Linked DNA regions of Lonchura striata. The protein of the gene in region 2 purifies or fractionates together with the protein of the main gene of each other region. This does not show direct contact. Links are inferred from orthologs where the notes say so. Each region holds a gene or a part of one and is shown on either strand. Other genes may lie near its edges. The genes, in order: BCL7B, SMARCE1, DPF2 and BCL7A.

Region 1 (7,586 bases), on a different chromosome or scaffold from region 2:
GTTTTCAGGCCAAATATCCCTGTGCACAGCTTGCTGCCCCCATGGAAGGTATCTGTTGAGGTCACTGCCAGCTGACTGCAGCTGCAATGTGCTACTGAGTCTCTCCAGTGGCCAGGGGAGCTCTTGCTGGGTGGGAAATTTGGTGGAAGAATGTGTTTTGGCTTTTTGAAGTGGTCTCTTCTGGAAAGAGAGAAAGGGATCTTGTTTCCTCGTATGGATAATAAATTTCATTCTTTTTCATTCAGTGTTGCAGTTGAACCAACACAGGGAGAGAACTTGGTGCCCTTGTAAATACTTTCATCTGGCAGCATATCCCTCTTCCCAGGTGCCCCTGAGTGACCTGGGCTGAGCTGGGGCTCAGAGCCTGTCCCTCCACAGGGCTTTCATTGTCTGGCTGGCCAATGCTGAGACTATTCGCGTCTACAAGATGACCAAGAAGGATGATGGCAGCTTCACCTTCACTGCGACTTCTGGGGACTTCCCAAAGAAGCACAAGGCTCCTGTCATTAACATAGGGATTGCAGAGACAGGTATGGAAATGAGCTGCTCACCTCTCCAGATAAGCTTTTATTTCCTTGTGAAGCTGCTTGATTCAAAGTGTTGGAGTTTTTGGCATTCTCGGGGCTGTGTACAGCATCAGTACTAAACTCTGTACTAAACTCTGTAGTCTATTAGGGATTTTTTTACTTAATTTGCTACCAACTGAACCAAAAGGTGTTGTTTTCACACCAATAATATCCCTGTAACCAGCTCCTTGATATGCACAGTTTCTTAATTTACATTTTCAGAGATGCTGTTGCAAAGAGGTCTGGCCTCAATATTGAGAGGATTGCTGTTCTCTGGGCTGCCAGTCTCTCTTTAACCAGTGAGAAATCTCTCTAGTGAGTTAATATGGTCTACCTTGAGCTTCTGGGATCATCTAGAACAGAGGTGGGGGTGGGTGGGTGGAAATTACATTTTAGTGGTGAGGGCTTGATGGATTAATGTGTCAGGTATGTGCCAGTGGCAGTTGGGAGCAGGTGGATGTGAATTCACCTCTGTAATAGGAGGTCAGGTAAAATATTAACTGAAACTGGGGGTGTGAAAGTGAAAACTTAAACCTGCAACAAGTAGCTGGAAGGTAAACAGGCAACTCCCTGCCTGGGCTGAAGTGGCAAAGGGGAAATGGGAACAAGCAGGAGTCCAGTATGGGCACAACCAGCAATAATGGATCGTGGTCTGTGGATCATGGTTGTGACTGGGATTCAGTTGCCTGCCTGCAATCCATAGCTTGAAAGGTGCTTATCCTCAAGCTGATTTTGGGCATGCAGATCAGGTGAAGTGTTTGTTCCTGTATGTGGCACAGCCCAGTGGGGCTGCACATGGGGCTCCCAGCTCTGCTTGTGGGGCTCAGAGTCCTGAGTATAGGGCACACATGGGCTCAGTGCCTGCTGCCTGCTTGGGAGCCAGGGGACTACTCAGGCATAACCAGGAGCTGAGTCTTCTGATACTGCTCTTTACTCTGTCCTAGGAGACTGACACTCCTTGGATTTTGGTGCTGCTGGTGGTTTTCTCCAGCTGCAGGGAGAGGTTATCCTGGGGCTTCATTGAGTCTGTGGCAGTGTTAGGTCTGGGGGCTCTCCTGAACTTTGCCTTTTTTTCCCCAGGGAAGTTTATCATGACAGCTTCCAGTGACACAACCATCCTGATCTGGAGCCCAAAGGGCAAAGTCCTGGCCAGCATTAACACCAACCAGATGAACAATGCCTATGCCACAGTGTCACCCTGTGGGAGGTGAGTGACAGGCAGGATTCCAGGCTACTCTTTTGCACAGCATAGCATCAGTTCAGACCATTGGCAGTTAATTGTTATTGCAATGCAGTTTTCTGAGGGTTCCACAGTTTAAAAAGATATCTTGGCCCTCCAGGAGATGGAGCTGATGTGGGGTCAGGCACTCTTGTGTTGCTATTCTGCCTCAGCACTGCTGTTTTGGTAACCTGAGAGCAGCTTTGGTCTCAGGTAGCAGGGGTGGGACAGAGCAAATGCCCTCTGCAAAGAAAACAGCATTTTGAACTTGTCTGTGACCTCTTAAAGGTTAATTATAAAAATAAAGATTATTTTCCTGGGAAATCTGTTAATTGGGAAAATCACTTGCTGCTGTAGCTGGATTTGCCTTGCTCCTGGCATGAGGAGTTTGGGGATCCATAGCATTTAGCTCTTCTACTTTGACCGAAGAGTTTCTCATTCCTGAGTTGTTCTGGTACCCTTCCTTAGTGTTCCCTTTACCAGCTAGGTTTCAGAGAAAAGTGGAAATTCAGCTTGAGTGCAGGAGTCAGGATGGATTTGCAGAACTGTGGCCCTGCCTTGCTCAGGTTCTCTCTAAGAGGCAACCTGTGTCTCTGCTTCTGTTCCTTCACACAGGTTTGTGGCATCCTGTGGCTTTACCCCTGATGTGAAAGTGTGGGAAGTGTATTTTAGTAAGAACGGAGACTTCAGGGAGGTGACCAGGGCTTTTGAGTTGAAAGGCCACACTGCTGGTGTACAATCCTTTTCCTTCTCCAATGACTCAAGAAGGTATGTGTGTTACCTGCTCCGAGTTACCCTAACAACATGTAAGCTCATCTCTTCCAGGGTTCACCAGCTGCATCACTAAACTGCAGGGGGTAAAACACTACCCTGGGGAGCCAAATCTAGCTCATGCCACCTATGTATTCCCTGCTCATAGGAATCTCATGTGGTTTAACAAGACCAAGTGCTGATGCTGCACCTGGATCAGGGCAACCCCCGGTATCAATCCAGGCTGGGGATGAACAGACTGAGAGCAGCCTGGGAGTGCTGGTAGGTGAGAGATGGACATGACCCAGCCCAGAAACAGCACATGGGTAACAAAGGAGAGGGAAATTCTGCCCCTGTGCCCCACTCATGTGAGACCCCACTCGCAGAGCTGCCTCCAGCTCTGGGGTCTTAGCACAGGAAGGACACGGGGCTGCTGGAGTGAGTCTAGAGGAGACACCAACATGATCAGAGGGATTGAGCAGGTCTGGTATGAGGAAAGGTGGAGAGAATTGGAATTGCTGAGCCTAGAAAATAGAAGGTTTCAGGTTATGTAATTGTGGCTTTCTAGGACCTGAAGGGAACTGACAAGAAAGATGAGACAGTATTTACAGGGGCCTGAAGTGACAAGATAAGGGGGAATTGTTTCAGACTGATGGAGAGTGGGTTAGGTGGGACATTAGGAAGAAAGCCTTGGTTGTGAGGGTGGTGAGGCCCTGGCACAGGTTGCCCAGAAAAGATGTGGCTGCCCCATCCCTGGAAGTGTTTGAGGCTGTATTGGAAGGAGCTTGGAGCAGCCTGGTCTAGTAGTAGGTTTTTTGCTTTGGAAAGAGAACAGAGACTGTATCTGTGTATTGACTCACCCTTCCCAAGAGATCTCTCTCCACAGGATTCCTGGTTCATGGGCAGGGCAGGGTAAGAGGTGCCACCCTTTTTCCACACACTCACCGTGATCTCTTTTGGCTGCAGGATGGCAACCGTGTCAAAGGATGGCACATGGAAGTTCTGGGACACAGATGTGGAGTACAAGAAGCAGCAGGACCCATATCTGCTTCTGACAGGGCAGTGTGCAGTGCCGGAGCCATGCCGCATTGCCCTGTCCCCTGACAGCCGCACGGTCGCCGTGGCGGGCGGCACAGACATCGTGGTGTACAACACACGGCACGGTGAGGAGGAGGAGCATTTTCTTGGCGTGCACAGCCACTGTGTCACAGACCTTGTGTTTGACACCACCGGCCGCTATATCGTGTCCTGTGGGGATCGTGCTATCCATGTCTTCCACAACGCTGCTGGGCATCGTGCTGTGGTGGAGGAGATGGAGGCCATGCTGAAAAAAACTGGCAACAAAGCCATGCAGGAGAGGCTGGAGCAGCAGATCTCCAGCGCTCACAAAGCATTGGCTGCTATCTATGGCAAGAAGTACTAAGCTACCTGTACAGCAGGAGGCAACTGCACTCTCCCTTGGGGGTGTTATTTTTTTTTAAATAACTGTGAACAGCAATAATAAACAGAGTGCCCAGGTTCTTCCTTGCGTGCTCTGTGATGGCAAGACAGGGCTGGGGACAGTGGCATCTCCTAGTGTCACATTCATGTGTTGTTTTCCCCTCAGGGCTTAGATCATCAGTATCCCATGGAATTGATTGCTAAGGCAATGCCTATGAGTTCTCCTGAGCTTAGAATTGGGAGTTGCGTGCATTTGGGGTAGGTTTTATGGTTAGTTGTTTCGTTTGTTTTTTTTTTTCCAAGAGAACTGACAAAGTTCAGTGTTGATACTGAACGGTAGGGATTCAGCTGCAGGGAACGGGGCAGTGCTGTAACGGTGCAGCGGACTCGGGGTGGCCCCGTTCCCTCGGCCCGGGATCTCGGGGGAATCGAGCAGCGGGACGTGCCCCACGGGAAACCACCGCTGCACCGCCGCTTCCCGCGCGCGTCGTTTCCGCGCCCGCTGTCAGACGCGTGCGTCTGCGCAGGCGCAGCAGCCGGGGCGTGTCGGGCGCGGTGACGCAGGAGGCGCAGCGCGCGGGCGGGCCAGGCAGTGCGCGTGCGCGGGGCCGGGTGCGCCGGCGGGTGCGGCGGGGCCGGTGCTGCGGGGCTGCGCGCGCCATGTCGGGGCGCTCGGTGCGGGCCGAGACCCGCAGCCGCGCCAAAGATGACATCAAGAAGGTGATGGCGGCCATCGAGCGCGTCCGCAGATGGTGAGGGCGGGCCCGCGGGGGGGGGAGGGGGAGGGCCGCGCCGCCCGCGCGCGGCCAATCGCCGCGCCGCGGGGTGCGACTCGGAAGTGCGCGCCCAACCAGCGGGTGCGGGCGGAGGGGCGGTGGCCAATGGGGTCGGGGCGGGGACGGAAGCGGCTGTGATGGGCTTTGAGTGCAGCCAATGGCAGTGCGGTGGGCGGGGCAGCCCGCCCGGTGCGGAACTGACGGCGCTCCGGACCAACCGGAAGGTGGCGGGGGGCGGGGCTTGTTGCCATGGTGCCCCGGCCCGGCCCGGCCCCCTCGTGTCTCGCAGGGAGAAGAAATGGGTGACGGTGGGTGACACGTCCCTGCGGATATTCAAGTGGGTGCCAGTGGCGGACAGTAAGGAGGTGGGTACCGCGCGCGGAGACGAGCCAGGAGCCACCGCCCACAGCCAGCCTAGCTCCCTTAACTTCAGCTGAGCTCCGAGCCTTCCCCAGCCCTACCGACCACCGAGCCATCCCTGAGCCTCCCGATTCCGCCGAACGCCGCCAAACCCCCCTGAGTCCCCTCCAGGTCGATCCCTGAGCCCTCTCCAAGCCAGCACCTGAGGCCCCGCTGAGCCCTCCCAGCCCTGCTGAGGACCTTTGAGGCCCCACCGAGCCCCTCCTGTCCTATTGTGATCCTCCCAGCGCCCCCAAGCCCCTGATCCCCCCCCAAGCTGACCCCGAACCCCACCAAGTCCCTGTCGAGCCTTCTTGGGCCCCCCTCCCAGCCCCAACAGGCCCCTTCAGCCAACCTGAGCATCCCCTGAACTGTCAAGCCCCCTGAGCTCCCTTGAGCCCCCTCCTGCTTCCCTTAAGACTCTTTGCTTGACTCCTCCAAGGATTTGCTTTACTCAGTGTCATTCCTAGATGGGCGTCTGCTCCTCCTCTCTTTTCCTGCTTTCCAGTCCCTTCATAGATGGAGTTTTTTCCTCTCACTTAGGAATGTGCCCCCAAAGGCAAGGGAAAAAGGCCAGCTTGAGCACATCTCTCTGGGCTTCTGGAGACAGAAAGGGGAATGGCTCCTCTGGAGCAGCATGTGTTTCTCTGACATTGTGTTTGTGCTTTTCTTTCTCTCCTTAAGAAAGAGAAATCCAAATCAAGTAGCAGCACGGCCCGAGAACCCAATGGCTTCCCAGCTGACACCTCTGCCAACTCCTCCCTCCTTCTGGAGTTCCAAGGTGGGTCTGGCTGAGCTCCCTTCAGCATGGGGAAAGACTCCAAGGCTGTACAGCAGCTGGGACATTGCTGGTTCTCTGTGCTGCCTGTATGGAGAAGAGCAGTGCTTGCCTCTGAGCACTGGTGTGGACTAGAGAGCTATGAAGTTGAGCTGTGGAGTTGGGCTGATCCACTTCTGGATTGTTTCTGTCTAAACTGTTCCTTTTTGCTGTTAGAGATTCTTAATGGGCTGTTTCTGGACTCTTTTGTGGGAAGCTTCACAGCTGACTAGAGGAGTGGGGTTTCCTGATCACCCCTTTCCATTCTCTGCTTGGGAGAGTCCAGTAGCCACCTGTAGCCAAGATTGCTTTTCCAACAGTTATTTCCATGGACCTTAGGGTGAAGGGGCAATGGCTCTCCGTGGCCTTGCTCTTGGTCTAGGCACTGTGGTGCAGCCAGGAGAGGCTCTGGCAGAGCAAGACTCACTGCTGAAATAGAATGTACACATCTCCCCAACCCCTTCTCTGTGTGTGGCTAAGGAAAATCAGGAATTTGCTGGCACTTCAGGAGATGTGGTGGGGTTATGTTGCAGATCTGCAGTTTGGCAAGGTGTGTGTCAGGCCTGCTTTCTCATGGGAGACAGGTGCTGAGTATTAATCCTTGTGTTGCTTCACAGAGAAGGAGCAAAACCCTAATACAGAGCAGGAGATTCCTGCTCTTTGGATGCCCAGGGCCCTCCCAAGCTGCAGATGTGGAATTTGGCAGTTCTCATTCCCAGGGCAGGAACATTCCCTTTGCCATGGCCAGTTATGTATATGATTCCCACTGTGTTCTGGAGGACTCAGTCCTGTGCCTGACAGCCCTTAGGCTGACGGGGAACAGTGAATCCCCTGGTTAACTCTCTGACCATGCTCTGCCATCTCAGCAGGACCTTGGGCTGCCTGTGCCGCTGTGTCAAGGTGCTCTTCTTCACCAGGTGCTGTTTCTGCAGATGAGAACAGCAACCAGAGCTCCTTGTCTGATGTATACCAGCTCAAGGTGGACAGCAGCCCCAACTCCAGCCCCAGTCCTCAGCAGAGTGAGTCTATGAGTCCTGCCCACACGTCTGACTTCCGTACGGATGACTCGCAGCCTCCTACCCTGGGGCAGGAGACCCTGGAAGGTGGGTGCTGGGCCAAGAAGGGAGCAGGCAGATGGGTGGGCTCAGGGAAGGCCACTCCAGGGCTGTTGCAGGTCTGGTGGGTGGCCTTGGCGCTTCTGGAAGCTACCAGGGCATCGGGGACTTCTGTAGCTAGGTGTTCTATCCTGGTTCAGCACTGAGCTGGGTGCTGGCTCTGCATTTTTGTTGACCCACCTGTTCTCCCCAGAGCCCTCCCTGCCTTCCTCAGAAGTGGCAGATGAGCCTCCCACTCTCACAAAGGAAGAGCCAGTCCCTCTTGAGACTCAGGTAAGGGAAGGGGGATTGAAGCCATCTCTAAATGTGCTTGGACCCAGACTGGCCCTTTGACCATTGTTGCTACTTCTTGTAGCTGAAGCATCTTGGTGGATGGACTTGCTCTGCAGTCCCAAAGTGCCCCCTGGGAGCTCCCAGAACCTCCTGGTTTTCTGAGCTTTGGTCTTTATCCCCTGGTTCAGATCAAGTGTTGAAGTGTGAGGGAAGGATATGGGGGTGTGCGAA
Region 2 (7,458 bases):
CCACACATCTTACCAAGCATTTGGATCGATACAATAAAACCATTTAAGTCCTTCAAAAGAAAGGGTGAACAGCAAGGGGGTTCTGATTCCAAGAAACCCAAACTTCTACTGCTTTTATACTCTGGGTGCAGCCCTTTCATATTCTCATTGTTGTTGTTTTGTAGATTTTCACCAAGTGTTACAAAAATTAAACTAGAACTTTATAGTTTGACATATTCTGCCTTTGTAAAAGAGAACTTGTTTTCTCTTTCCAAAAATGAGAAATGCCTATTTGCTTCTCTTAATTATTCAATATTCCATTCATATAATGACTGGTGAATACTTGCAATAATTTATATCACAGCTGTCATACTTCTAGAAATATATTTTAAAATAATACTTTCTAACAGCAAAAATTACATATGAAAATACTCTTAAAATACATGAACTATTAACAAAGAGTTTTCTTTTAAAAGTGGCTAGTATTTTTAAATTCCTTTTTTTCAGGCAACAACTGAGCAAAAATATCTTACCTCTACATCCCTATACATCCATTTTAAAAGTGTTGTTACAATCCAGTAACATTTTAGCCATATTGCTCAACTGATTTTGAAGCAGTAATTTCCCCTGAAAAATCAATCATTTTCTTATGTGTCCACACACATCTGTACTACAAGTCTCTTAGCCAAGGCAAATGAAATTATTCTCTTATTGTTCAAATGGGAGGAATGAAACGATCATTTGAATACTGCTATTCCATTTTTTTTTATTATAACAATGTGCATTAAAATATCTTCAACAAATTTCTCTTCTGACAAACACTACCGATAAGTGATACTGTTGATTTTGTCCATGTGACAAGTCACTGTTACACCAGGGTACAACTGTTACTACTTCAAATTGACTGGGCAAAATAAGGGCTACAAATTCAAAGTACAATTCAACCAGACCCCTTAAGTACTCCCCACTCCTACCCAAAGTGGCTGTGGGCAAACACAAACCCCAACAGAAACCCTGCACCGGTACACAGAGGAACAGCCATCCTTCTTTAAAACCTTACAGGACAAATTTCAAACAAAGACTCAAACAAGATTGTATGAAGACAACAATGATTATTTGTGAGGATTCTGAAGAGGATGGATGTCACTGCTCCCACTGGAGCACCGGGATTGCTGGGGCTCAGAGTCTGGAGAATCCACACAGAGGATTTGCTGGATTACAACAGCACGTAAAGGATTGATTTCAGTGTCAGTATCTGCCTTATTACTTATGGCATGTGCACAAAAGTGATACTGCAGATCCTTTCAGAGTTAATCTATGCTTCTATCCTTTGTTCATGGTAAGAACAATGCATCAATATTGCCCCATCCTGTCTGTACTGTATCAAACTCGCTAATTATCCTTAACCTGAATCATGAGCTGATGTTATTACCACTTGAGTACTTGGCATCCTGAATGTATCAGCCTGCTCCAGTATTTTCACTATGCAGCTTTTTTTTTTGTGCTTAGACTCTGTACATTTTACAATACTTGAATTTAAACTAAGTTTTAATTGCTTTAAGGCACTTTAAACAGGGATACAAATTTACCAAAGTAAATGATAGTACTACAATAAAAAAAAAAGTATTAAAATGGAGTTTCTCTATGCCTATTTTGTGTGTGTCAATGTCTTCTCCTTAAGTGGAAAGTAAAAGAAAAATGCAAAATAAAAGTTGCAGATAGGAAAATCTGTAGCACTGTAACAAGTGTTTTCTCTGATCCTCTCCACAATTAGAAAGACACAAATTCCCTCAGAATCTTTACCATAACATGTGAGTGTCCTTCTGCTACAAAACTTACTCTTTTTTCCTGGCAAATCCAGTCACCCTGGCTATTTTCCTCATGTGTGACTTCCTAACACTGACTTCAGTAGCTTCTCCTACTTTAGGCCTGGTTCAAGTGGGCATTTTGGTTTTAACTAAGTTTTCACATCTTTCAGTAATTATCTATTTTTGCATTATTCACAAATTCCATCTCTCCAAATGTAAAGAACTCTCTTTTGTTCACAAAGTAGTTGGCTTCCACAAGTATCAGCGTGAACTCCACATAGGCATCAAAATAATAACATCTCACCCTCATTTTTAGGTCACTTTAAAGTGGAATTTAAAAAAAAAAAATTAACACTGAAGCTTAATACTGTGGCAGAGAAGTCTTAATTTCTGTGGTTCTAATTAAATCCAGACCAGCTGAGCCTCTGCCAACTAGCACCTGCAAACGGCTGATGTAAAAACGAGTTTTATTGTCTCAATCTACTTCCCAGTGAATGTCTGTCCTCATTCCAAAGCTTGTGAAATTGCTGGTAATTAAAACTGTTGGGTAAGAATTAGTTTTTACATTCCCCGCTGGTGAGCATAGTGCAGTGTAAACAATTCCATTAAATCAGTAAAACTACTTATATATTGTACAGGATATTAAAAAGTGTACGCTGGTAAAACCTTTCACTATCACATGATGGAACTGAGGCAAAGAGCATAGGAAGAAAAAAGGGGGAATAAAACAAAGTAGGAAATACACTGATGGCTTTGAAAATATAATGATTTAGAACTATTAGTATGGAATGTCAGTTTCCACAAATGTACTTGAACACCACAATAAACAATTCCGTTTTAAAAATAAACACATTTTAAATAATTCAAATTTTAAAATTTTGCTTTAAAATTAAAGCAAAAGTTAAAATAATTAATAGAAATTGCAAATTTTCAATTTTTAATTTAACATTAAATGCAATTTACACTATCAACAAAACTATGTTATTAGTAAACTAGAAGTGAATGTATGAAACTAGGGTGAACCTAGTCAAAAGCAGGAGGAAAACCAGGTTATCTTTCACCTCTTACATGTATTTTCTCACCTTTTCTTTACCTTTTCCTGCCCCAGTTAAGATGGTGAATTAATGTGTTGTATTTCGTTGGCTGAGGAACCTTTTCAACTCTTGCTTTAATATCAAATTGAAGTCACAGATTATTCTGCTATATGGCAACAAATGTCCATTGTGGGTACAGTCAGCAGAATCTAAGCAGATGAGGGCAGAGCTCTTGTCTCTTTATTTGTTCATAAAAATAAGTGTATTTAAGCATAAAAACAAATTGAGCCAGTGGAACTGGCAGGCATCAAGAAAAATGGCCCCAACTTGCAGCAAGTCATGTTCAGTTAGTTTTTCTTCTTTTCACCTTCTATCATCCTTTTGGGTTAGGCAGGTACCATCTCCTTTGGCTTTCCTTCGGATCCACCCAAATTCTCCCTCATGAATGTCTAGAAATACATCTTATTGGCCACGTGAGACCATTTCAATGCCAAACATTCCATTTCAACCTCAAACATTCAACATCAAACTTTCAATTTCAAGTTTCACTGCCAAAGTTTTCATATTTAATTCAGTCACTTTTGACTATTTTCAGTGTAAAAGACTCTTAAAGCTGAATGCTGAGGTCTGGAACTCTTCATCCTCCTCACACCCTCAGAGCCATATGCTTCACCTTGTTTGGTATTTGTGGGGGTTTTACCTATGTGTGATAACTTCGCTGATTTCTGCAAGGAATTGTGGACAATTCCACTGCTCCCAGACTACTGGGTACTTTATAATCCTGTCTGATTCAGCAGCAGAGTGTTTTGAGTTGGTCAGGCTGATTTAGTTGACAATTATCACATATTATCATATTTATTACCCGGGGCCATCTCGCTGCCTTCACAGCCGTCTCTAACGTCCCTTCCACTGACATTCTCCCACACCGGCACCTTCCCGCTGCCCTCAGGGCTCATCCTGCTCCACTCAGCCGCCTCTGGAAGCATCCCAAACAGCCCTTTCGGCACCACACTCTGCACAGACCACGGACGGTTCACCTGACTCCATCGCTGCTTTTATTGGATATTATTCGGGCTCGGACATGACCCCGCAGCGTTTTCCGTGGACTCAGGGCAGCCCAGGGTCCAGGACATTTCAGGTACCTGTCCGTGAGGGGGAATCTCCTCGGGGGCCGCGCGCAGCCCGTGAGGGGAAAAGGCGCCAAAATCGCCTCAGGGGCCGCGCGCAGCCCGTGAGGGGAAAAGGCGCCAAAATCGCCTCAGGGGCCGCGCGCAGCCCGTGAGGGGGAAAAGGCTCTAAAGCGCAGCGGGCACGAAGCGTCCGCAGGCCGTCCCTGCGCGCCCGTTCTGCGCTGCAGATTCGCCACCGGCAGCCAGCACTCGGGGCACCGTGACCGGGGTTGCCGGCGCGGGGGAAGGGGACGAGCACTGCGTCTCTAGGGCGCCTCGGGAGCCCTTGTGACACCCCGCGAGGCAGCGCCTCCGTGCCGCTAATGGCGGGCGGTGCCGCCCCGCGCGCGGCGCTCGGGTTGCATCCCGCAGATTCGCCGCGGCCCCTGGAATCGCCGCTATCCCGGAGGGTGCGGGGACGGCCCTGGTTCCTCGGTGGGGCGCGGGGCAGCCGAAGAGGGCCCCCCATAGTGAGTAGGGGATCACCGGCGGGCCGGGGCCCGCGTGTCGAAAGTGCGGAGCGGAGTGCGCAGGCGCCGTCGCCGCCGCCCCGGCCCGTGGGAACAAAGGGAGCGCGGCCGCGCCGAGCGGGTGAGTCCGAGGGGCCCGGCGGGGCCGGCCGGGGGGCTCGGGACGGCCCCGGCCCCTCTCCGGCAGCGCTGCGGGGCTCGGGAAGACCATTGAGCCCGGGGAGGGAGTGGTGGGACCGAGGGACCCCGCCGGTGGCCGCCTTGGGCCCGCAGAGGCTCTGCTGGATCTCCCAAGCCAGCCCTACGTGCGAGCCCGGTGCACGTCGTTAGTAGGGATTCTGGAGGAGGTTGCAGCTGCCCGTGGCGTGATTTGGAGAGAAACGGCGAAAAGGCACTTCGTTACAGCGCTGTTTGACGGGCTCCCGGGTTCGGTGCTAAAAGGTTAAGAATTGCCTGTCAGACCGCAGCTGCGGGGCTCGGTGGTTGTTGTATGTACTCTGTAAAGGAAATACATAATTTGGTCATTTACATATCGATATCAGATTTCTGAATCAGTGAGTGTAAAATAATGGGATATGTTCTTTTTATTCCTTACAGCAAAAAATATATTCATTTAGACCCTTTAATATGAAGGTGACCTAAAGCTGTGTGCTCTTACACAGCTTTTTAGATTCCTTGGAAAATCCATTAATTTTTCAAAGAGATAACAACTTGGTTTCTGAGAATGCTTTTGTCTGTATTCCAAAATTGACGAACTTTTATAATCACTGGTATCAATAACAATCGAAGCTTCAAATAACTGGTGGGGGGAAAGGCACAACACTTATTAGCATGTTGTTCTTTTGTCTTGCAGAAGTACAAATATAATGTCAGGTGGCTGAAAATTTGACTATCAAAATGTCAAGTAAGTTTTTTTTTTTTAAGATTTTTCTTTCTTTAGCTTTGATGTTTTACAGATCTGTTTCCGTGGAACCTGTTTGTGAGATGGTGCCATTATTCCTGGCATTAAAAGAAATTAGCAAGTGTAGTAACTAAACTCTTGGCCTTAAATCCTTCTGTGGCCAATTCCTGGCATATTGTTTTTGTAGGAAATCCAGATATCACAGCTTCTGAGTCCTATTGGACTGTATTTTTGCTTTCCCTCCATGTAATTGATGTGCATATAAATGAATTTCATATTCTTCAGTCTTGTGCTTGAACAAAAGTCTGGGACTAGAGTAATAGGAGCATTTCAATTTTTCTTTCTTTTTCTAGTGTTGCTTTTTGCTGTTCAGTGGCAAAAGGCAAAGTCTTTCAGAGTAAAATTTGCTTGTTTTGTAAAATCATTTGAAAATATTGGCCATAGCAGATGCCTTAAGAATTCGTTTAGATTTTCAAGGGGAAAAAAAAAATGTGCTTACATTTCTGTCTTAACAGAAAGGCCATCCTATGCCCCACCTCCCACCCCAGCTCCTGCAACCGTAAGTATAGTGATTTTTCTCATTAACACAAGGCCTTTAGTAACTTCCCAGAACAATAATTAGGGAGTTGCATCACCTTCCAATATGGGAAACACGATATTAATGTGCTATGAATTGTTTAAATTAATATAATTATTTTTGAGAAGTTTGGGAAAGAGAAGCCGAATAAACTTGTTTTGCCTCTAAGGCTGGATCTTACAGACTGAATTTTCTGTGAGCATTACTTCTCTCAAGTGACTCACAGTGGGTTGCAGCAGTACTGGAATAGTTAAGAATCAACTGGTACATTTGATTGTAAAATGTCCTACTCAGCCTGTGCCCAGATCATGGGCAGACAGTGCATTTTTCCACAGTTCAGTTGTACTGAGCTGCTTTTTTTTTTTTTTCCAATTGAGTGGAATGCAGGATTATGAAGCATCCTGTTGTATTGGATCAGAATAATGAAACACTCCTGATGCCAGTCTTGCATTCCTTGAAATCACTGGTATTTTGGAGTCTAGGGCATGGGAAATATTTTACTTTCTAGTAAAGTGGCATGCCCTGACACTGAGGAAAACATGAACAGGAGCTTTGTATCCCGCCCAGTGACATTCCTGGATGTACAAAGGTGCTGCAGTAGCAGTGTACCATGGGCAGGAACTGTTTGAAAATAAATGCACATCTTTGGTCACATTTGTGGGTAGTTTGAGTTTTAGGAGAAATCCTTTGTACAGAAGGTTGAGGAAAGATTCTACAGTGATTTTTTTTTTTTACCAAAGTGAATTGGAAGACTGTGACCCAGTAGTGTGTCCTTGATCTCTGCAGGATGGGAGTTAGAAGGAATGTGATCCTTCAAATTTTTTGTGCCATATTTTACAGGAAGAGGTTCGAAAATTATATAGTACATAAATACAAGTTATGTTTTTATAAGTTTATATAAATAAAACTGGATTTTCATAGTTTGCTCAGAGTTTTCATTTTACACACAGCAAAATAGATCTGTGGCAGTGTTAGAAGGACCATGATGGATCCCCTCTGACCACTGGATTCCTGCATCGAGAGCTGTGCATACACATGTGATTCCTTTGGGATATAGCATGAATACAGATGTTTAATGGTTCATGTTGATGTGGTACAGTTCTTCAGAAGGATACATGAAGCACATGCCAGGACTGCAACCAGTGACCTGCATTGCCTGTTTTACAAGCATCTTTTATTTTGTATTATATTTTATACAGTCCTTCATGTGTTGGTCTCTGCTCTGTCACAAAGTAGCCAAATAACCTTGCTTGTTCTTCCACAGCCAGTTCCAGGTGCTGCAGTCAACAAAATCTCAGTAATTCTCAAAACTGCAGTACTGTACCTGAAATAAAATTTCTCCGTGCAGTTCTCCCTGATGTAAGGTAGTTCCTGGTAACATTTAAATCCTGTCTTGCAGAAATAAAGAAATAAGCAGACGGCGATTACAATTGTCACCTGGTTTTATTGAAGAGCTGTAGTTCAACATATTCAAAGCCTGTTGTTATGGTAATACAAAAAACTGTAGTAAAACAGTGGCT
Region 3 (7,305 bases), on a different chromosome or scaffold from region 2:
CTGATTCCAGCTCAGATCCCAGCTCGGATCCCAGCTCAGATCCCAGCTCGGATCCCAGCTCAGATCCCAGCTCAGATCCCAGCTCAGATCCCAGCTCGGATTCCAGCTCAGATCCCAGTTCTGATTCCAGCTCGGATTCCAGCTCAGATCCCAGCTCAGATTCCAGCTCGGATTCCAGCTCAGATCCCAGCTCAGATCCCAGCTCGGATCCCAGCTCGGATTCCAGTTCTGATTCCAGCTCAGATCCCAGCTCAGATCCCAGCTCAGATCCCAACTCAGATCCCAGCTCAGATCCCAACTCAGATCCCAGTTCTGATTCCAGCTCAGATCCCAGCTCAGATCCCAGCTCAGATTCTGGCTCTGATTCCAGCTCAGATCCCAGCTCAGATCCCAGCTCAGATCCCAGTTCTGATTCCAGCTCAGATCCCAGCTCAGATCCCAGCTCAGATTCTGGCTCTGATTCCAGCTCAGATCCCAGCTCAGATCCCAGCTCAGATCCCAGCTCAGATCCCAGCTCAGATCCCAGCTCAGATCCCAGCTCGGATCCCAGCTCGGATTCCAGCTCGGATCCCAGCTCAGATTCCAGCTCAGATTCCAGCTCAGATCCCAGCTCAGATCCCAGCTCAGATCCCAGCTCAGATCCCAGCTCGGATCCCAGCTCGGATTCCAGCTCGGATCCCAGCTCAGATTCCAGCTCAGATTCCAGCTCAGATCCCAGCTCAGATCCCAGTTCTGATCCCAGCTCAGATCCCAGCTCGGATTCCAGCTCAGATCCCAGCTCGGATCCCAGCTCGGATTCCAGCTTGGATTCCAGCTCATTTTCCGCCTTTCCTCTCGCCGGGTGAGGGTTCGCCCTCAGGGCAGAACCCCCGAGCTCTCCTCAGTGCCAGAGCTGACCACTGGAAACGCGACCCCGTGTCCGTCGGACCCCGCGGGATGAATTCCTCTTTTGGGATGAATTCCCAAAGATTCCGGCCAGGAGGATTTGGGGGCGCAGCGGGGTTTGTTCTGAACCGTCACGGCGCCGTCACTTCAACTCCTGCTCCGTGAAATCCTTTGGAAATCCCAGACGGGGCAATCTCCCCCGGGAGATCTCGCCAAAACTCCCCGTGGAGAAGCCAAAAGTCCCCGTGGAGGAGCAGGGCTCTTGTTTTAGGAACTCAATCCACGGAGGGGCCAAAAAACCCCTCTGGGGCCGGCAGGAGCGGGGCTGGGCTGGGAATCCTCGAGGAGACGCAAAACCAACCCAAAATCCCGATCCGGGCCGACGGATCCGCCGCCGACTGTTTGGGAGCGGCGGGAACGGGGAATTCCAGCTGGATTTTGGGGAATGGGACAAAAACCCAGCTGGACACGCTGCCGGTGACTTCGCGGGGCCTCCTTGCCCAGGCTCCTGTCACAAATTCCATCTTTTCCCGATTCCGGGGAGTTTGAGCCCAGAATGAGGCCGGGATCCCCCCAGGGCAGAGTCGGGCCCCTCCTGACCAGCGAGTCTAATTTAGATTATCTGACTAATGACTCATTAGATTCTCCTTAACGAACCCTTGTCCCGCCTCTTCCTTCCCCTCCCCCTCTGCGTCGGTAAACCGCTTTTGGTGCAAACACCCAGAATTTGGGGATAAACCTATTTCCCAACGTTTTCGTCTGTAAAATAATTAGCAGACCGAGGTTGATTGGGCTCGATCAGGTTTAATTTCTATTTGGTCCAACTCTTCCCTGCTCTGAACTCTTTTCTCCCCCCACACTCTGTCCACATTTTATTTATTTTGGGATTTTTCCTCGCCAAATCAATTCCAGCCGTTTCAGAGCCTCGTTTGCGATTAATTAACCCTCGGGACATTTGTGATTAATTAACCCCAGAGATTGGGATGGGAAGGTGGCTCCAGACACGCCACAGCTGCCACTCGGACCAACGTGAAGGGAAGCCAGCCCAGCACGGCTCATTTTGGGTGGATTTCTGTGGTTTGGGGGTTTTCCAGCGCGAGCTGGGCTGGGACAATGTGGATGGACTTTTTTTCCTGGATTTCACCCCAGTTTTCCTGGCTTCCACCTTAATCAGTGATTTGAAGATGGAGCTGTTTGTGCCCCACCTCGGCCCAGGAATTGCGAAACCGTCGCTGCCGGAGCGGTTTCGAAATAATCAAAATCAGCCAAAATCCCCTTTTTTCCTGTTTTGTCCCTTTTGTGTCCCGGTTTTTTCCCTTCCACAACCCAGGGCTGACTTTTGGGGTGCTCCAGCTTTAATCTGGGATCTCGTTCACTCGTTTCTGTTCTCTCTGCTCCAGTCCTGGAAAAGCTCCTTTAATTTATCAAATTTGGGGTTTTTTTAACCTTGAAAAGGTGATTTTGCTTTTCTCCCCCCCTCCCCTCCTTTCTCTCTTCCCTCCCTCCCACACCCCCCAGACCAACTTGCTATAAACCCCTGAAATTATCCCCAAAATTAGTGTTATTATCCCTGAAATGTTTTTTTTCCCTCAATCTCATCTCCTGAAAAAAAAAAAAAAAACAAATTCCTTAATTAACTTTTAATTAATGAATAAATCATTTGGGATCCCTTTCCACAGAATTGGAGCCTCCTTCACTTCTCCCCTAATTAATCACTCCCCGAATTAATGATTTATGCAAACCACAGCTGCTGATTTGCTCCCAATTCCAAGAATTTGAGTCATCCGGAGCAGCCCTGACTCAGCTCCCCCTCCCTTTTTGGAGAATAACTCCGGATTCAATCAAGGATGGAATCGTTCATTAACCCCAGCAGGGGCACAGGCCTCCCTCCCAATTTCCTCGTTATCCCGGGATTTCCGCTGGATTAACGCCGCCCACGCCAGCGGTCAGTGCCTGACCCCCGGCGTGGCCGGAGCCGGGAACGGAGCCGGAGCAACAGCCGGCCTGGGATTACCAGGAGGAGGAGGAGGAGGAGGAGGAAGGTTTGACCAGGGGGTGACCTTGGGGGAGAAACGCAAATTCCCAGCAAACAGGGAAAAAAAAACCCAGGTAGGATGTGGAAATAAGGAGGAAAAAGAGAGAGGAATTCACCTGGAAATAAATGGGGAATTCACCTGGAATTGAGGCACTCACTTGGAATGTGGAATTCACCTGGAAATAAATGAGGAATTCACCTGGAAAGGAAAACTCACCTGGAAGCTGCCATCAAACCACGCTCGCCGTGGGGTCTGTGGGTGACCTCGGTCCTGAGGGATGAATTTGGGGACACTTGGTTAATTCAGGTTGGAGAAAAAGGGAAAAGAGCTCAACAATGGGAACTTTTGGCAGGAGTTTTTGGGGATGAGGAGCCGTAAGGAATCTGGGGGGATCTGAGGGATCCATCCTCACTTATCCCTCATTTCCCCTCTCCCAGCTGTTCATCCCTCATTTCATTCCCCCATCCCCAATTTATCCCTCATTTCCCCTCTCCCAGCTGTTCATCCCTCATTTCATTCCCCCATCCCCAATTTATCCCTCATTTCCCTCCCAACCCTCACCCCTCTTTCCATGTTATCCCTTCCTTCCTCCATCCCTCCCCATCCTCCCTCTTCTCACCCCATTCCATGGAAAAGCTGAGAAAACCTTTGGGATCATCAAAATCCAACCCGGCCACCCCTGAACAGCGTCCCCATGTGCCACATCCCGGCTTTTTTTGGGATAACCCCAGGGTGGGACAACCCTTTCCAGGGACTTTCCTGAACAAACCTCCCCTGACACAACTCGGGGCTGTTCCTTTTGTTTTATCCATGGGGAGAAGGGATCTCACCCCCAGCCCCATTCCAGGGAATCTAGGGAGCAGTGCGGTCTCTCAAATCTCCTTTTTCCACGATAAACCCCCTCATCCTCTGCCATCATTTCCGCCCTCACTTTCTGTCCATTTTTGCCTCACTCTCGTGCTTTGTTCTCTCCCATTTTTCCCCTCAGTCTCCCCCCGTATCCCCCACTCTGCCTCCCACCCTCATCCCCACGCCCTCCCTTCCTCCCCGTACCTTCAGCCGCCCCTTTTTCCCGGATTTTCTCCTTTTTCGTGCATTTTCCCCCCTCAGATCCTTTTCCCGCCATTTTTCCCCTCAGGCTTTCGCCCCTCCCCCACTCCCCCTTTTCCCGCCTTTTCTCGCGCCCCCCCCCCCGCGCACGCGCGCGGCGCACAGCGCCCCCCAGCGGCCGGGAGGACTCCGCGCTCCCTTCCCCCGGCCCTCCCTCTCCCTCCCTCCGCCTCCCCTTTCCCCACCCTCCCTCTCCCCGCTCCTCCTCCTCCTCCCTCCATCCCTCTCCTTCCTCCTCCTCCTCCTCCTCCTCCTCCTCCATCATCCCCCTCCCCGCCCCTCCCGCCCCTCCCTCCGCGCACGCGCCCCGCGGCGCCCCGGCGGCGGAGCCAAGATGGCGGCGGTGGTTCAGAATGTGGTCAAGCTGTGAGTGCGGCTCCCCCCCCTCCCCGCACACCGCCGGTCTCCCCCCCGCGGCGCGGGAATGGTGCGGCCCGGCCGGGCGCGGGAAGCGGGGCCCCCCCTTGGCCCCGCGCGCGCCGGACGGGACCAAGCGGGCGGGCAGGGGGGTGGGGAGGAAGCGACACGCGCGCATTGTTCGCCGTGAACTTTGCTGAGGGGGGCGTTGAGGACACCCCAAAATCCTCCCCCGGCACCGGGAGGGCCGCAGAGGTGTGAGGGGAGAGCAGAGCCTGCGAGGGTCCCGAGGGGCCGGGGGGGTCCCGCAGTCTGGCCCTGAGGGGGTCCTGGAGAGGGCAAAGGCGGGGGTTCGCCCCTGGAAAATTCCCTGGATCGTATCCCTGTGCTTCCCTGTGCTCCCTCGTGTGGCCCTAAACTCCGTCTGCGAGCGTCCTGGAGAGGCCAAGGACGGGGGAGTCATCCCAGCGCATCCCTGGAGAGTCCCTGTGCCTCCTTCAGTATCCCTGAATATCCCTGAATGTCCCTGTACCTTCCTGCTTTTTCCTGCACTGCTTCCCAGCGCATCCCTGGAGAGTCCCTGTGCCTCCTTCAATATCCCTGAATATCCCTGAATATCCCCGAATATCCCTGAATGTCCCTGTACCTTCCTGCTTTTTCCTGCACTGCTTCCCTGTGCACCCCTGGAGAGTCCTTGTGCCTCCTTCAATATTCCTGAATATCCCTGAATGTCCCTGAATATCCCTGAATGTCCCTGTACCTTCCTGCTTTTTCCTGCACTGCTTGAATATCCCTGTACCTTCCTGCTTATTCCTGCACTGCTTCCCTGTGCATCCCTGCCAGAGGGTCCTGTGGAGGCCGAGCTGGGGGGAGCTTCCCTGTACTTCCCTCGAAATCCTTGTATTTCCCTCAAAATCCCTGTATCTCCCTCGAAATCCCTGCATTTCCCTGTATATTCCTGTGCTTCCTTCTAATTCCCTGTATTGCTCTCTAAATCCCTGTATTTCCCTGTGTATTGCTGTATTTACCTTTAAATCCCTGTATTTCCTGTAAATCCCCGTATTTCCTGTAAATCCCTGTGTTTTCCTGTCCATCCCTTGGCTTCATCTCTTCCCTTCCCGCCCCTGTGAGAGTGTCCTGAAGAAGCCAAGGAATGGGAAATTGGAAACTTTATTCCGGAGGATTTCCACGTTTATTCCTGATATTCTCCAGGATTTTGTCCCTGAGGGTTTCCAGGTTTATCCCTGATATTCTCCAGGATTTTATCCCCGAGTCTCTCCGTTTGTATCCCTGACACTCCCCTGGTATCCCTGACATCCCTGAGAGGTTCCCCATTCCCTGTACCCGTCCCTGCCAATCCCGGTGCCAATCCCTGCCATTCCTTGTGCCAATCCTTCCCATTCCCTGCGCCATTCCCTGTACCCATCCCTGCCATTCCCCGTCCCATTCCCTGTGCCGTTCCCCGTGCCCATGCCGCCTTTCCCGGTGCCGATCCCGGCGTTCCCAGCACTGATCCCTACCAATCCCCGTGCCATTGCCTTTGCCAATCCCTCCCATTCCCTGTGCCATTCCCTGTGCCCATCCCGGCATTCCCCGTGCCCATCCCTGCCATTCCCTGTGCCAGTCCCAGCATTCCCGGTGCCGATCCCAACACTCCCAGCACTGATCCCTGCCATTCCCAGTGCCTATCCTGGCATTCCCCATGCCCATCCCTGCCATTCCCAGTGCCCATCCTGGCATTCCCGGTGCCAATCCCGGCACTCTCAGCACTGATCCCTGCCATTCCCTTTGCCCATCCCTGCCATTCCCTTTGCCCATCCCGGCATTCCCCGTGCCCATCCCTGCCATTCCCTGTGCCCATCCCTGCCATTCCCAGCACCAATCCCGCCGTTCCCTGTGCCCATCCCTGCCATTCCCAGCACCAATCCCGCCATTCCCTGTGCCCATCCCTGCCATTCCCAGCACCAATCCCGCCGTTCCCTGTGCCCATCCCTGACATTCCCAGCGCCCATCCCTGCCATTCCCCGTGCCCATCCCGCCGTTCCCTGTGCCCATCCCTGACATTCCCAGCGCCAATCCCGCCGTTCCCAGCGCCCATCCCGCCGTTCCCGGTGCCCATCCCGCTGTTCCCTGTGCCCATCCCTGCCATTCCCAGCGCCCATCCCTGCCATTCCCAGCGCCAATCCCGCTGTTCCCAGCGCCAATCCCGCCGTTCCCACCACCAATCCCTGCCATTCCCTGTGCCCATCCCTGCCATTCCCAGCGCCCATCCCGCCATTCCCAGCGCCCATCCCGCCGTTCCCTGTGCCCATCCCGCCGTTCCCAGCGCCAATCCCGCCGTTCCCGGCGCCAACGCCGCCGTGCCGCGGTGCCGTTGCAGGCTGGGCGAGCAGTACTACCGGGACGCCATGGAGCAGTGCCACAGCTACAACGCGCGGCTCTGCGCCGAGCGCAGCGTGCGCCTGCCCTTCCTGGACTCGCAGACCGGCGTGGCCCAGAGCAACTGCTACATCTGGATGGAGAAACGGCACCGCGGGCCCGGTACGGCGGGGAAACGGCGGGGAAACGGCGGGGAAACGGTGATGGGAAATGGCGGGGAAGTGATGGGAAACAGTGGGGAAGTGATGGGAGAATGGTGAGGAAGTGATGGGAAACGGCAGGGAAGTGATGGGAAACAGTGGGGAAGTGATGGGAGAATGGTGAGGAAGTGATGGGAAACGGCAGGGAAGTGATGGGAAACAGTGGGGAAGTGATGGGGAACAGTGGGGAAGTGATGGGAGAATGGTGGGGAAGTGATGGGAGAATGGTGGGGAAACGGCGGGGAAGTGATGGGAAATGGCAGGGAAATGATAGAGAACAATGAGGAAATGATGGGGAACAATGGTGAAATGATGGGGAAACAACAGGGAAATTATGG
Region 4 (6,974 bases), on a different chromosome or scaffold from region 2:
AGCAGATGTCTGTATTTCCCCCCATTTAATAAATCAGACTTTGACAAAAAACAAGAGTGTCTTCAGTATTTTTCTAGTACTGGTTGAGGGCACAATAGTTTTTGTCCCTCTCTTCTTGAGAGCCCACTTGGAATCTACATGTACCCATCAACTTTTAAAGCCAAAAAAACAATCCTGTACCATTAATTGAGACAAAGTAATCTCAGAGGATTTTTTAAAATAGACTGACAGAAGAATTTTAAGTACTGGTAAAGAAAGGTAGAATTGTTCACTTACTGTGGAAATTTAACATTTCTGCCACACAAACACAAGGCAACCATGTATTCTGTAAGCCACGTGCTGCGTGTTTTCCAAAACAGATGCTCATTCATGAGCGTGGTTTAAACAAAGGAGATAAGGTTACAGTAATCTCACGATAAAAACATAACAACTTCACTGTTTACTACTAAGTTCCAGCAATAACCAGAAGTGCCACGTGCTCTGTGAGCAGACAGGAAGACAGAGGAGCTGCATCCAAGTGCTGGCTGTCCAGGAACACTGATTTTCTGAGGAACAAAGTCTGCCCTGATGGAAGCTGCCCTCCAGCAGGCACGTTCACATCCCTGTGGCAGCACAGGGATTCGGGAGCACCAAGCACAGGTGGATGATGCCTTGGATAAAGCCATCCTCCACTCGGATGAGTTCCCAGCCCCGTCTGTCTCCCTGCCCATCCCTGGCACGCACTGCTCTGAGCACACAAGTCTCACAAAACTCTCTTCTAGGAAATGCTGGACGCAAGGTATTTTAATTTTCAGTGGCTGCATTTCCACAGAAGAGCTGTGGATGGCAACAAATTGCTCCTATTATGCAAATGAAACTGCACACTTGGAAATTGCCGATGTGGCTCTTCTGAAGATGCAGGAATTGCTAGTGTGGAAAGTTCAATTTAACAAGCCAAGTCTTCTCAAAACACTGAAACCACAAAACACAGAATCTCTCTAGCTAATTTCCCGCTGTATTTGACTGCAGGTGGAGGGGGGGTAACCATGAGATTCAACTGCAAATTATGATTCCTTTAAAAATAAGAAATTTGCTTTATGTAAATACTTGTGAGGTGCACGCACAAAAAGTCATATTGATACTTCTGACAATAATCAACAGAAACACTGAATGACTTACAGGAACCCTCTACAGCAATTGTCTATCGTGAAGGTTAAAATGTAGAGAAATCTATTTATACCACAAGATTTCTGTTTTACAGAAAGAGCCATAGCAACTGGCATGATGGCAGAGAGTCCTTGCCAAGAAAAAAATAAATAAATTAGGTATTTTGTTGAATGGCCAAGCTTCTGTCTCTACTCCTCTCTGAATTCCACAAACCAGGATTCAAAGGGAGCGTGCAGAGCTCATGAATGAAATACCTACAGACAGAACAGTCCCACACATCCAACCACGCTCCAGCTGGAACAAAAGTCCTGTCACACCGCTGCACATTGTTCTGACCTTCCAAAGCCGGCCCAGCAGTCAGCAAACTGCACTTAAAAACAAACCCGAGTAGAAGAGAGTTCCTGAAACCACCCGAGCTGCTCCGGCTCCCTACACAAAGGCTGGATTCTCTGAAATCCCCGTCCCGTGCCCGGTGCTCCTGGACACACGTCCCGGTCCCGATTCTTTGTCCGGCTCACGCCAACGGGCCCATTCGTGTGCTCAAAGCCATTTAAAACTTAACAAACCATTTCACTCTAATACGAACACGTTCAACTCTATCTTTGGCTCTTTTTTTAACGAAAACAAAGCGTTAGGTGAGGAGGACAATAGAAGTGTCCCCTTGATTTCAAACCTGCAAACCAGCTGAATGATGCACAGTAACAATAATGCAAGGAAATTTCCTCGTGGATTCCAAACGTTTAAAGGAAGTATTTTAAGATACATGCACAGAGACTGCTGAACAGTCAGGCAACTTGCTGGAAGAAAGATTCACTCTTGAGTCACAGCGGCACTGCTCTTTATGCCATCCCAAATCCCCGGACCGACCATGCAGAGCACGGCGCGACCGCTGCACTGTATTGTTTAAACACCTCGTGTGGGTTTTTCTAACAAAAGCAGGGGGAAAAAAGACAAAAGCGGGGAAATGCCAAAACGCGCTGAAGGCCTAACAAAAGGGACTTACTTCACACGGGGTATAACCTATAATTTGATGATTTAAGAGAGGTTCCAGGGGCAGTTCGCGCTCTCTCCCGTAGAGTCAGTGGGAGACGATCGCGCTCGGGTTTGCTGCGCTTTTACGCACAAACCCCGGGAACTCGGGAGGTGAAATCAATCCACAAACAGGCAACGACAAAAAATAAACTCTCGGGAGCTTCAGAGGGGTATTCTTAACGTGTTTTCTTTTTTTCCAGAACACTTCTCCGAGCACAATTTCCACCCAGAAGAGCGGGCGGCGGAGCCACCCCGGGCCCGCTCCTCGGGCCCTTTGTAGGGGCCGGCGGCGGGAGGCGCCCGGCCCGACCCCGCCGCCCGCCCATGCCCGAGGCGCCCGGCCCGGGCCCCGCGGCGAGGGGCGGCGGGCCGGGGTCCGCGGGGAGCGGCGGGGGCGGCGGGGAGGGGGCTCGGCCGCACAATGGAGCCGCCTCTCGCCCTCACACGCCGCCGCCGCCTTCATGTGACTCGCCGGAGCGAAATGGCTGCTGGGTGCCGCCGGCTCCCCGCCCCCCGCGGCCGCCGGCGAGCCCCGGAGCCGCGCGGGGCCGGCGCGGGGCGCGGGGGACGCGGGCGCGGGGTCCCGGCGCGGCGCGGCCCGCTCACCATTTGCGCACTTTCTCGATGGCCGCCATCACCCGCTTGATATCATCCTTCGCCCGGCTCCGGGTCTCGGCCCGCACCGACCGGCCCGACATGCTGCTGGGGGGCGGCGGGCTCGGCGGGGAACGCGGCGCTCGGCGCGGCCGGCGGCTCGGTCCGTGTGTCGGGGCGCCCGCCCGCACAATGCCGGGGCTGCGCGGGGCTCGGCACGGCTGCGCTCGGCGGCTCCGCTCGGCTCCGCCCGCCCGCCCGGCGGGGCCCGCGCTCCGCGCACGCGCGCGGCCGGCGGGGAGGGGCGGGGCGGGCGCCGTGAGGGGACGGCGGGCGGCGGGAAGAGCGGCGGGGCCGTGAGGGAGCGGAGCGGGCTCCGAGCCCCGCGCGGCCCTGCGGAGGAGCCACCGGGCGGGAAGGAGCCCCCGCGGGGGAGAACCGGGAGGCGGCCGCCCGCCCCGCGCGCTTCCGGAGTTCCCGTCGCTGGTTTGCCTCGAGCGTTCGCTGGAGAGAACACAAGACAACGTTCTTTCCCCACTCCCACCCAGCTCAGGCCGTAAGTTACCCCAGAACTAAAAAGTTTTGCCGATTTCAGCTCGCCTCCACCCTAAAGGGTCAGCAGGAGCTGCCCAGGGAGGCGGTGTAATCCTTTAGAGAAAGACTGGATGTGGCACTTGGTGCTATGGTTTAGTTGACAAGGTGGTGACCCGTCAAGGGTTGGATCCCACAGATCTTTTCCAACCAAATTGGTTCTCGTGATTCTGTGATAATCCAACGCAGTCTAGCAGCATCAAGAGCTCAGTTACATTTTACCACAAAGAAAAATCCAGTCCTAAAATCCAGGGTTTTTACAAACCTCAAAACACTTTACATAGAGATAATACCTATTTTTGTACAGGGCAGTGACAAACATCCATCCTATCCTTGCACCAGTTGCCATGACAGACCTTGAACATGGGTATGTGTGATGAAGTCCCCTGTTTTACACGAAGCATAAATCCATAATCAGCAGATTTTAGGTTTGTTTCCCCAGTGGTTATAAAGTTTCTCAGCTGCTTTAACTAATTCCAGCAATATCCATTGAATTGGGCTGCTTTTGAGCAGTGGAGGCTCAGCTCCGACAGAAATCCATGGAATTACATGAGCATAAAGGCTAAATGAGTTACATGGGAGGTGATGCTCTGCAGGAAATTTGTCACAGACCTGCGAGCTCTGGTGTGGTACTGCTGGACTCCTTCATTAACTTCTCCCTAATGCACACCTTGCTGTTGTTGCTAATTGTACAATCACAGATGCTCTGAGTACACAACAGCGATCTCTGTTTAAAAAACATTGCTTCTGAAAGGAACGCTTCTTAAGGGCCTACATTATTATTCAAATTGATGCCAAGGATGATGTAAAGAAGGAAGCTGTTCAACAGCACTTCACTGATCTTTCTACAGCAACTTGTATCAGTCTCATTATGCTGTTTATACACACACAGAGTAATGCCGTCCCATTGGTATTACACTGCTAATTGGAATCTCTACTTTCAGAAAGAAAAAGTCAGTTTAAAGGCCAAAAGAGAAGCGTGGTTTTAATGTGTACCACAGCATTTATTTCTTTACCAAGGTCCATTGGATTTATAATTACAAATCCATTCTAACCTGTCAAAGCATTTATCAATGTATTTAATCAATACAATACTCTTACGTTGCTCTTTTGCTGTCAGGTTTCACAAATGAATACTGTCTTAACGTAATGAAAATAGACTGCATCTGGCATAAACCCACCTGAAATGACTTCTGGGAATGTTCCAGCCAAGGATGGAGTGGCCACCTGCTTCATTCTTTCCAGCCATTCAATGTTTCCCTATATAGGTGTGAAATTACAGGTTTGTGGCATGGCCCAAACTGGGGACTTACTCTAGAGTTTGACTGAAATTTAACTATGTGACCTTTACTTTGCAATAAACACAAGCCATAAATTTTGCAGATATTTGAGGAGAGGATCCTGGAAAGTAGGAATAAACAGAAAATCTAGTGGTCGCTAGATTCTGTGCCTTTGTAGATCAAAGATTCTTCTTTTTCCTTGTGTTCTTTTTTTCTGGTTCAGCAATAGGTAAGCCAAGAATGTCTGCAACAAATATCTCTGCTGTGATTTCTGCTGGAATTTCTTCTTCAATCAAAGCTGCTGCACCTGGAGAGCAATAACAGCATCAGAAGACACACAAAAGCCATGTCAAAATTGCTCTCCAGTAAAATTTATAAGCAGCAATAAGTGAATGAAATGTTTTTAAAGATGTACAAAGAGATCATGACAAAGTGACAGTTTACTAGCTTGATACTTTATGTGTTTATATCAGGAATTAAGCCTGTCAAATCTGTGTGTCTCACCTTGCAGCAGGTCCCTGCCTCAGACGAGTCATGGGACAACTTTAACACTTGGTCAATTTAATGTGATTTAGGATCCTGAGGGATCCAGGGATTTCAGAGTTTCAAAGTTCCCTTCAGGAGCAGCACCTTTGCTGCATGGCGCCCATTGCCAGTGACCCTAAACAGATTCTGTTCCAAACTGGTGGGGACTGGGACATGAATTGTACAAAAATGCAGTTCCAATTACAATGGGCAATTAAATTCAGCCTCTTGGCTCAAATCAATGCTATAATTTGCTGTTCCAGACTGGTGTGGACTGGGACATAAATTGCAGACAAATGCTCTCGTTACCAACAGCTCTGTTACAATGGGCACTGCGGCCTGGGTGAAACCAGCCCTGGGATTTCCCTGTGTGTTTCTAATTTCAGTTCCAGCCAGCAGATAAACAGCAATGTAATCTTGTCAGGCCCTAGTTATAGTTCATTGTCCATTTATTTTTAGATACACCCGTGCAATTGCTGCGTGGATGAAGGACAGTCTGTAGCTCTGTGACTATTTTTGCAATCCCATCTGAGCAGCTTTGACAGCTCTTGGCCTAACAGGGTAAATGGGTTTGAAATTTAAATTATTCCATTTGGGAATTAAACAGTCCTGCTTCTCTGCTGTGTGGAATGCTAATCCTGTACCTGTGGGATCGCAGGTGTCCAGTTCAGATCTTTCTTTCCTGGGTCTCCTGCCCAGCAGGGTGGTCAGACACTCAGCCAGCTCGTCCTCTGTCATCTGCTCCCCTGTACAAAATGGAGCACCACCACCGTTGGGTTATGGGGTCAATAGCACAAAAACTCAAAAGCAACTGCAATTAAACTAAACAGGACAGTTCAAAAGAGGACCTGGCTTCTCTGAGATAGAGACATATACAGTGCCAACTGAAACACATGATTCCAATGCAGGAAAATGTTGATCCTAAGGAAAATTGTCTTCTCTATAGCATTTTGGGGGAAAATGTCAATCAAAAGAAGAAATTATGATGCAGACTGCTCTTTAAGCAACACTGTAGTAGCAGGGGCTTGAGCTTCTCTTCCCACTGGAGAATTCCTGGCAGAGACCACAGTCCATGTAGCCATTTTCATGCAGAGGAAGAGAAAGGTGGAGAAAAGTCTTAATTTAGTATCTTGAAATAACATGGACACAGCACTTGTTCCCAGTTAGTGGTTGGCTCACGCCCTGGAGCATGAGGTTATAGATCTGTTATGAAACTGTTCTATCTGATGTACCTATTTATGGATGTTCACACCATCTGTATAAATAGCTAACCTTTCTCACACTGGTTGAATCCGTGGTTTCCAAGGATCTTTGTGGCAAGGAGTCTTGCCAAGTGATGTACTGAGTAAATCAGCATTTCCCTTTACCTGTTTTAATGCTCGGCTACACTTTTACACCAGAAGTAAGACAATAGAAGTTTGTTATTAGCACTCTATGGCACTGGCCACAAACAAATTAACACCCACGTTTATGGTGTTCTCCCTGATTCAGCTCAACTGAATCATCCCATCTTTTCAGTCTTTCACACTGGGTGCAGCCTAGGACCAATTTCATCCCTCCTTTCTTGTGTCCCTTTTATCCATTTTATACTACTTTTCCAGAACCTGTGTGACTAGAAGAGAAAACAGCAATTCAGATAAGGGCACACTGGGAGAAGGATACATTTTGCCAAGATCCATACTTATCATTTAACAGCTGAGATACCTCAGGCCAGCAGAGATTTCCAGAGCAGTAAAAGAAGCACAGCTGGGACAAGACAAGTGATTATTCAATTTAAAATCTGAAGGCAGGTGGCTCCTCACGCCT

The links.
Region 1: the proteins of SMARCE1 (region 2) and BCL7B purify together in Homo sapiens (affinity purification with mass spectrometry; 3 studies listed by BioGRID and IntAct, counting the BioPlex papers as one, with this or other methods). This does not show direct contact. The link is inferred for Lonchura striata from reciprocal best matches to the Homo sapiens genes SMARCE1 and BCL7B.
Region 3: the proteins of SMARCE1 (region 2) and DPF2 purify together in Homo sapiens (affinity purification with mass spectrometry; 9 studies listed by BioGRID and IntAct, counting the BioPlex papers as one, with this or other methods). This does not show direct contact. The link is inferred for Lonchura striata from reciprocal best matches to the Homo sapiens genes SMARCE1 and DPF2.
Region 4: the proteins of SMARCE1 (region 2) and BCL7A purify together in Homo sapiens (affinity purification with mass spectrometry; 4 studies listed by BioGRID and IntAct, counting the BioPlex papers as one, with this or other methods). This does not show direct contact. The link is inferred for Lonchura striata from reciprocal best matches to the Homo sapiens genes SMARCE1 and BCL7A.

The regions. Positions count from the first base shown.
Region 1 is NC_134622.1:786,577-794,162, reverse strand, and holds the start of BCL7B (B-cell CLL/lymphoma 7 protein family member B), read left to right. Parts: upstream 1-4,585; 5' UTR 4,586-4,635; coding exon 4,636-4,727; intron 4,728-5,040; coding exon 5,041-5,116; intron 5,117-5,834; coding exon 5,835-5,931; intron 5,932-6,833; coding exon 6,834-7,070; intron 7,071-7,275; coding exon 7,276-7,355; intron 7,356-7,586. Other genes in the region: TBL2 (transducin beta-like protein 2), read left to right, coding at 379-530, 1,647-1,773, 2,401-2,553, 3,502-3,958. UniProt on the Homo sapiens protein: Positive regulator of apoptosis. Plays a role in the Wnt signaling pathway, negatively regulating the expression of Wnt signaling components CTNNB1 and HMGA1.
Region 2 is NC_134627.1:6,813,726-6,821,183, forward strand, and holds the start of SMARCE1 (SWI/SNF-related matrix-associated actin-dependent regulator of chromatin subfamily E member 1), read left to right. Parts: upstream 1-4,457; 5' UTR 4,458-4,581; intron 4,582-5,313; 5' UTR 5,314-5,357; coding exon 5,358-5,364; intron 5,365-5,876; coding exon 5,877-5,920; intron 5,921-7,458. UniProt on the Homo sapiens protein: Involved in transcriptional activation and repression of select genes by chromatin remodeling (alteration of DNA-nucleosome topology).
Region 3 is NC_134638.1:227,758-235,062, forward strand, and holds the start of DPF2 (zinc finger protein ubi-d4), read left to right. Parts: upstream 1-4,300; 5' UTR 4,301-4,365; coding exon 4,366-4,397; intron 4,398-6,768; coding exon 6,769-6,929; intron 6,930-7,305. Other genes in the region: uncharacterized protein LOC110478861, read left to right, coding at 1-845. UniProt on the Homo sapiens protein: Plays an active role in transcriptional regulation by binding modified histones H3 and H4. Is a negative regulator of myeloid differentiation of hematopoietic progenitor cells. Might also have a role in the development and maturation of lymphoid cells.
Region 4 is NC_134620.1:12,285,016-12,291,989, forward strand, and holds the start of BCL7A (B-cell CLL/lymphoma 7 protein family member A), read right to left. Parts: upstream 3,013-6,974; 5' UTR 2,877-3,012; coding exon 2,785-2,876; intron 1-2,784.